2 linked regions of the Elephas maximus indicus genome follow. The protein of the gene in region 2 interacts with the protein of the main gene of each other region in a pairwise test. Links are inferred from orthologs where the notes say so. Each region holds a gene or a part of one and is shown on either strand. Other genes may lie near its edges. The genes, in order: PCMT1 and RPIA.

Evidence for each region.
Region 1: the proteins of RPIA (region 2) and PCMT1 interact in binary tests that used the Homo sapiens proteins (3 or more experiments, as listed by UniProt). The two-hybrid records come from large-scale screens. The link is inferred for Elephas maximus indicus from reciprocal best matches to the Homo sapiens genes RPIA and PCMT1.

The regions. Positions count from the first base shown.
Region 1 is NC_064819.1:221,029,405-221,033,314, reverse strand, and holds the start of PCMT1 (protein-L-isoaspartate(D-aspartate) O-methyltransferase), read right to left. Parts: upstream 2,480-3,910; 5' UTR 2,469-2,479; coding exon 2,240-2,468; intron 1-2,239. UniProt on the Homo sapiens protein: Initiates the repair of damaged proteins by catalyzing methyl esterification of L-isoaspartyl and D-aspartyl residues produced by spontaneous isomerization and racemization of L-aspartyl and L-asparaginyl residues in aging peptides and proteins.
Region 2 is NC_064835.1:46,778,450-46,782,359, forward strand, and holds the start of RPIA (ribose-5-phosphate isomerase), read right to left. Parts: upstream 2,819-3,910; 5' UTR 2,786-2,818; coding exon 2,501-2,785; intron 1-2,500. UniProt on the Homo sapiens protein: Catalyzes the reversible conversion of ribose-5-phosphate to ribulose 5-phosphate and participates in the first step of the non-oxidative branch of the pentose phosphate pathway.

The sequences.
Region 1 (3,910 bases), on a different chromosome or scaffold from region 2:
TTAGCTAAAATTACCTTTTGGGGACCTGGTGGTGCAGTGGTTAAAAGCTCAGGCTGCTAACCAAAAGGTAGACAGTTGGAATCCACCAGCTGCTCCTTGGAAACCCTACAGGACAGTTCTACTCTGTCCTATAGGGGTCACTATGAGTCTGAATCAACTCAAAGGCAACGGGTTTTTTGGTTTTGTTTTTTTTTTAATTACCTCAGCAAAAAGTTGAAACTAAAGTTGCAGAAGTGTTCCAAAAAGAAGTTAAGTAACATCCAAACCAAAACCGAGCCCATTGCCCTGGAATCATTCCCACCCATAGCGACCCTATAGGGCAGAAGAGAACTGACCCACTGCATTCCCAAGGCTGTAAATCTTTACTAAAACAGACTGCAACATCTCTCTCCTGAGAAGGCTGACAGATTCAGACTGCTGGGCTTTCAGTTAGCAGCCAAACACTTAACCACTGCGCCACCAGGGCTCCTTTAAGTACTCTAATTTCCTCTTCGGAATCATAGAGCCAATATAAAACTAAATATCTTCAATATCATATGAATGTATGTTAAATATTCCTCATTAAATTATCTGACAGAAAAACATTCTTAGAAATCTCAGCTAAGAATAATAATGCAATACATTAAAGTGATTATAAAGCCACTGGAATAAGGTCTAGTCTTGGCTTAACACAAATTTGGCCCAAAAAGGAGAGAAAGATCTTAAGATACTGACTGATTACAAATTTCTACCTCAGTCAAGTGTCTACTGGGATAACCCACTGGTGGAAAATTACTTAATCGCAATTCATGTATAGAATGTTTAAGGTATGTGCTCTGCAACAGCAGGCACATAGATCATGTTAAGAAATTTTATAAAAATACAACATATTGAGTATATGTGCAATCCATGGGAACCTAAATCACACCCACTTCTAATATCCTTTCATAAAATAAGACGATGGCAATGCTTGACAGAATTTTGAAATCTAAACATTCTTCATTACTAAACACTAAAAACACAATTTCCATATTTTAAGTACTGTTTAAAAAATGATATATGACTAATATTAAGCATATTAAGTACAACCATATGCCAGACTGTGACACTTATTTTCTTATCCTTGTATCGGAGCACAGGCCCAGGGTTATAATGGATACTTTATTAGCATTTGTGGAAAAAGGAATGAGTAGTAAGCTCTTTGAGAGGATTAAAAAAAAATTTTTTTAATGACCCCAGCCTTCGAGGTTACAAATCCAGTTGAGAGATAAGACGAACACACGAAAAGCTAAATAATATATGATAATTAAAAAATACCACGTAGCAAATACGATTATTTGCAAAGTTAGTGGCAAAAAGAATGCTATGAATTCTGACCAGAATGACATTATTATGGACTGTGGTCCTTCCGGACTCTGGAACAGACGACGATACTAAATTTCAATTTAAAAAAAGAAAGTGACACAGCACTTATCCCACCCTAAAATTACCGCCAGAGAAAGGAATAAAACAACTAAAGAAAATGGTATAAAGAACTTCCACACAAGGTTTTCTAAAGCATGTGGTATCCCTCACATACAATCGTGTGCTGGGGTCCCAGGACCACAAGTCTCTCAGAAACAGCATCCCCTGGTTATCTCTTCCTCCGCCCCCCACAAGCCTTCTCCCAACATCTGCAATGGCAATACTCTCATCTTCCTTTCCCTCCCTCTGCCGGTATCAGACAGTGGCATCTCCCTCCAGAGGAAAAACCGGAGGGCGGGGGAGGCAAAATAAGAAAGCAAGCTTGCAGCGAGGTTGATTATAAAGGAGGAAGGTGAGAAAACGCGGGAGACGAGGGTGGGGCCCCGGAGCTCTAGCCCAGTCTCTAGGCGGCCTGGCCACCACCACCCGACCGCGAGGGCACGCCCCTCGCCCGCCAGACCCGGACCAGAGGCTGCGGATTCGAGTGACAGCCCCACCACCTGTGCGGCACTCCCTTCCCCACACCCGCAGGGAGACAACTGCCCCTGCCCACCAGCAGCGGTGCTTTGCTCTTTCTCTCCCCTTCCCCTCCACGTCGCCGATGAGTGACAGGTCCCGGGGGAGGTGATCTCAAACGCACGTCGTTCGGGACTACCGGTGCAAGCCTGCGCCGAAGCCCTCCGACAAGCGCTGGGGGTTAGACAGGTTAGACAGAAGGTTCCAGCTCGGCCCGAGGGGACCTGGTCCAGGCCCGGCCTGCCCTAGTTGCCCCACGCCGGGCGGGGGTGGCACTTACTGCGGAGGTTGTGGATTAGCTCCGAGTGGCTGGCGCCGCCGGATTTCCAGGCCATCGCTAAGCACACCCGGAGCAGGTACAGAACCACCTTCAGGGCGGCGACGGTGCCCAGCAGCTTCCCCAGGAGTGAGACCACTTCCCAAACGGTGACCGCCCCGCTCGCGTCCCCGCTGTGGCCGCCGCTGCTACTGCCGTCGCCGCTCCTGCCGCCACTGCGCGCTCCCGGCATGCCCCGCGGCACGCATGCGCCCTGTGACGCCGCGCGGCCCGGGGTGCGGCCGGGTGGGGCCGGGGGCGGGCGTGGCGGCGTACCCGCGCGCTTGTTGCTGCAGTGGCTGCTCGGGCACCGCAAGGAGAGCGAGCTGAGTCAGCACCGCCGCCGCGGCTGCATGCCCCTTCCTGAGACCTCGGGCTGCGCGCTGCCCCTTCCCGGGGTTCTCCCTGCGGCCACACCGGCTGGGCCTGGGCGCGGTCGGTCGCGTGCCGGGCCGCGGCTGCGGTTACGCAGCGCGGAGGCGGGATGGCCGGGCTGATCTGTGCCGCCTTGTCTGGCGGATCTGGCTTCGCCGCTGCGGGTGGCTCTGCGGTCCCCTCCGGGTCAGCTGTTGCGAGCGGCGGCTTTGCTCCTATAGCTGCCCAGATTGTTAGATGGTGGGCTTCCTCCGTCCCGTTTAGGCCGGTTAGAGTAAGAGCTCCCTTCGAGGGAGCCTGAATAATCACAGCAGAACCCGAGGACGCCAGCCTCTGGCTTTGTGATAAAAACATCACTGGTTAGCAGAGACTTTGGGACCCTGGTTTGTTCTCAGTCCTAAAGCACACATTCAGAGTGGAATGGGGAGGAGGTGATCTGCTCCTTAAAATAATAAAAACGTGAAGATCTACAATTGGTTAAAAATACCTCAGTATCCTATGGTGAATGTGTTATTTTCTCAATACAAGTGTGCGCTTCAGCTAATGATGCCTCACAAATTCCACTGTCAGATTGGGCGCTGGCTTTATTGCTATGAGCTCTGCAGATGATGAGTAAGAGACTGACGGGGAACGTTGCCTGTTGCATCCAAATTGCTGACTCCTGATCAGAGCTGAGTCTGACAATTCAGGCATCATTTAGTTCAGTAGTCTTTTAAGGAAAGAAGCAAAGCTATGTCAAGACATCCTATGCTGCTGCAGCAGCAGCAACTTCCAAATTCTAGTTTTTAACAGACTGTCAAGTGCGGCATGCCGCCCACTTCCAATCCACAATATACCTTGTCTATTTTTAAGGATCCAGTGACATAAATGAAACCACACTCATAAGTGTTTTCCACTTCAACATTAGGAGTAAAAGTGTTAGTTTGGGACTCCAATTAATTTAGTAGTTTTCCATTTCATCTTTCTGCAGCTTCCTGATGGTCTTCTGGTTGGGGAAAACAAAAAAAATGTGACGTTCTTAAGAGGAACGTGATAATTCTCTAAAGCCGACCAAGACTGACTGCATTTGTATGTGATGCTACCATAAGCTGCAACTGTGAAATAGGACTGCCAATATCAGATACAAGTAACAACAGTAACAACATTTTAGAGAAACAACCAACACACAGTTATAAATACCTATAGCAAAGGAGATAAAAAGATGGACAACTCATACCTCTTGTATGCAGTAGAATCTATATTCTAGTCCAAGAGAGATGT
Region 2 (3,910 bases):
TGTGACACAGATGACAGCTTCAGAAGAAAACACATCACTTGGGAGGGCGTCACTCAGGAAGTTGGCAGAGGGGACAAGATAAGAGCAACTGCAGTTCTCTGGCCATGGCAGAGCCCAAACTGGGACAGTTGGCTGGTGTCTTAGTTTGCTAGTGCTGTTTTAACAGAAACACCACAAGTGGGTGTGTTTAATGAACAGAAATTTATTTTCTCACAGTTCAGGAGGCTAAAACTATGAATTCAGGGCACCAGCTCTAGGGGAAAGCTCCTCTCTCTCTGTGTCAGCTCTGGGAGAAAATCCTAGCCTCAGATTCCTTGAAGATCCCCATAAAAAACAAAAACCAAAAACCAAACCCACTGCCATTGAGTCGATTCCGACTCATAGTGACCCTACAGGACAGAGTAGAACTACGCAATAGACTTTCCAAGGAGCGCCTGGCAGATCTGAACTACCGGCCTCTTGGTTAGCAGCCTCAGCACTTAACCACTACACCACCAGGGTTTCCAAAGATCCCCACAGGGCATCTGTTTCCCATTTGTGCTAACTTGTCTCCAAGCCTAATCTGTTCTTTTTCCATCTTAGAAGTCGTTAAGTTTAAAACACACCCAGACTGATATGATCTCGATAATATAACAAAGGAAGCCCCACTGCCAAATGGAATTACACAATTCAGTCCACAACAGCTGGCCAAAGGGAAGAAGCAACTCTAAAAACATTCCAAAGGCGTAACTAACAGGGCTTGGCACATAACCTACTTCAATAAACTCAGACACGTGATTAAACAATTGCAAGATGCAAAGTACTACAGAAAAAGGTGGCCTTCGATAAAGCAGAGGATAATCCCTGGAAGAAGCAGCTAAACCTTGACAATTAGGCACAAGGCTGCCTCAATAAATGTGCGGCCTTGAATCAGTTATCTTGTCTGCAAATTACCCAGGACCTGACTCTCCGCCTCCTCCCTTTAGCCACATTTCTGGCTATCCCACTGCCTGACATCAATGGGCGCTCAATAAATACTCAAAAAACGAATGAAACGAATAAATCAATGTTAAAGAGCAGAAATACATAATTCAAATAGTGTTGGCATCTCAGGAAAAAATTTTGACAAGGTAAGTGGGTATAACTGAGGCTGAGGTGAGGTGCCCTCTGGGTGGCCTGGTAACCTCACAGACTGATGTGGCTGGAATCCAGGGTTTAGAGTCTATACCCTGAGATGAGGGTGTGCAGGTTTTTATTTAACTGAATATATAACAATCAGACAAAGATCTGGCAGGCATATGCTACCAAGTGTTAATGTAAATAGGTTATTGGAACAATTTCAGTTCGGAGCTTTTATATTTCTATAGATTTCATTTATCTGTCTACTGTCCACTGTATCCAGGTACTCAGAGCAGAGGCACTGAATCCCAAACACAGGGCTGATTACAAATCTTACGTTATTACCTCTGTGTGTTCCCAGACAGGGTCTAAAAGACTAACTAGATGTGCATCACACTACACCAGAAGTGGGTGGCAAAAAAGAGTGGAAACGCACTGAAACGGGGGTCACTCAGCTGGGTCCTGGAACCCTCCACTCAACAGACACAAAGCCACAGGTTATCACACCAGCTCCACCCACTTAATCAGGCTATTGTGAAGCTCAAACGACATCATTTATGCAAAATAACTTTATAAAGTATATCATTAACAAATGTAAAAAATGATGATTAGCGGAGAAAAGGAATCTGATACCACTTTCCAAGAAGCAGAAAAAGGAGACAAAAAGCCAACAAGGCCAAGGAAACTCCACTGCAGGGCAGAAATATCCCATTTGGCTTCCGTCGAGATACTATAATTAAAATAATTAACTTGATTGGTTACAGGAAATCCACTCAGGTTAAAAGACTCCTCCACTAAAAGCTCCACACCCGCCCCTTAAATAAACAAGTGAGGCCATGACCTCGCCAAGTAACAGCTAAACATCCACACCCACATCTTAAGGAGCAGCATCCTCCGGACCTAGAGTCCACTCCTCTTCGGTTCTGTCTCCCATTCTCTCTGGCGAGTACACTCAGGAACAGGCGCGCGACAAACTAAGAACCTCCCTGGAGAGAAACTTCAAAGCATTCTGCAAACGAACTTTGCGCTGTGAAAACCAGACAGACCCCTCGGGAGCCCCAGAACTCGACCACTTCCCATTTGTTCATAAGGCTGCCACAGGGAAAGTCCTTTCCAGCCCAGGCCTGAAACAGAAACCACTAGGCTCCACTTTGCAAACTTATCGACCCATCATGGAATCTTGACAAAGCTCAACTTTTGGGGGGGCTCGCCCCCACCCGACACATCTAGAAAGCCTTTAAGGAGCGAGAAAAGAAGGGGGTCTAACCACGGACACCGCGCGCCCCCCTTCCCGCTCACACAGCCCCCACCCGCCAGGAACCAGGCGCGCCGGCAGTGTCCAGAGGGCGCAACACGAGCCCATTAGGCCACCGGCAGGCGCCCCATGCCCGGAGCTGCTCACCCTCACGTGGTTCTCCACGGCCGCGCGGCCCGCCAGTTTCTTGGCCTCCTCGGCCTTGGACATCGCGGAGGGGGCCGGGAAGACGCGGCTGGCACCCCCGCCACTGGTGCTTGCGCTGCCGGTGCGGCTGTAGGACCCAGACTGCGCGCACCCGGGAGGCTGCACGTGGGAACCCGGGGCGGCCCAACTGTTGCCGCCTCCACCGGAGGCCGCGCCCCCGGCCCGCCCGGGGAGCGGGGCCAGGACCCGCCCGTAGAGGGTGCTGAAGGGCCCGGGGCGCTGCATCCTGCCGCCGCGCTCCAGCCTCCACCACGGTCCCGCCCCCGGGCCGCCCGGAAGTCTGGTCGCTTACGCACATAGCGTCCGCCCGCTGCTGCGCGGGTCTCTCTGGGAAATGTAGTTCCATGGCTCCGGCGGTCCGAAGCCGCGCCCCAGCTTGGACTACCTGCCCCACAATGCTTCGCGACTGGCGGTGCAAATCTTCGGCGACAACCTCGCGCGTCAGCAAGTGCGGCGCGAGTAGCCTGCAACCGAGTTCGAAAACGTCTGTATACCTTGGGGAGGTGGATGAATCCCAGGGGTTTTTCTGTCAGCCCACATATCCTAGAAAGAGGTATTGGTCCCGGCCCTGTTGTTTTTCCCAGCAGTAAAAGAACCTGGCGGTGGACCAGACCTCAGGGTGGTGGCTCTTTTGGAGACGTCACGACAAGTACGCGACGGTACCCCCCCCCCGCAAAAAAAGACAAATCCAGTGTCGTCGAATCCTTTCGACTCACAGTGACCCCATAGAGTTTCCCAGGCTGTAAATCTCTAGGGAAGCAAGACTGTCATATCTTTCTTCTCCGGAGCCGCTAGTGGCTTGGTACTTGGGGGTAAGTAGACTCACTTTCCATGGAAACTTACTTCAGAGCTCCCGTGCGCTGAAGTCCATCCTTAGACTCCGGGACCACAAATTTTAAACCCCATACCTTAGACGTTGTTCCCCACTTGGTGATGTTGGATGGCGTGCTTTGTCCAGATCGAGCCTGGCCCCACATATAGCGGTCCCTGCATTTCTTGATGATTAACAAGGGCTTTCACTGAACTTAGGAGCTCTGGTGGCGCAGTGGTTAAGCACTGGACTGTTTACCTAAAGATTGGTTTCCCTGCAGGAGAAACATGTGCCAGTCTTGGCAGTTCTACTCTGCCCTATAGGGTCGCTTTGAGTAAGAACTGAATACACGGCATTGGGTTTCACTGAACTTAACAGCTTTCTCTCTTATTTTCTCCCTTTTGGGTTTCTGGCTGTAGAAAATAATAGGGTCCCAATTTTACAGACAAAAATAATGCCACAGCCGTACCGAGACCAGTTGGAAGTTCTTAAAATTACTTGGCCTTTGTGCTTCTCCAAACTGGTTGACTCCCGCTAAG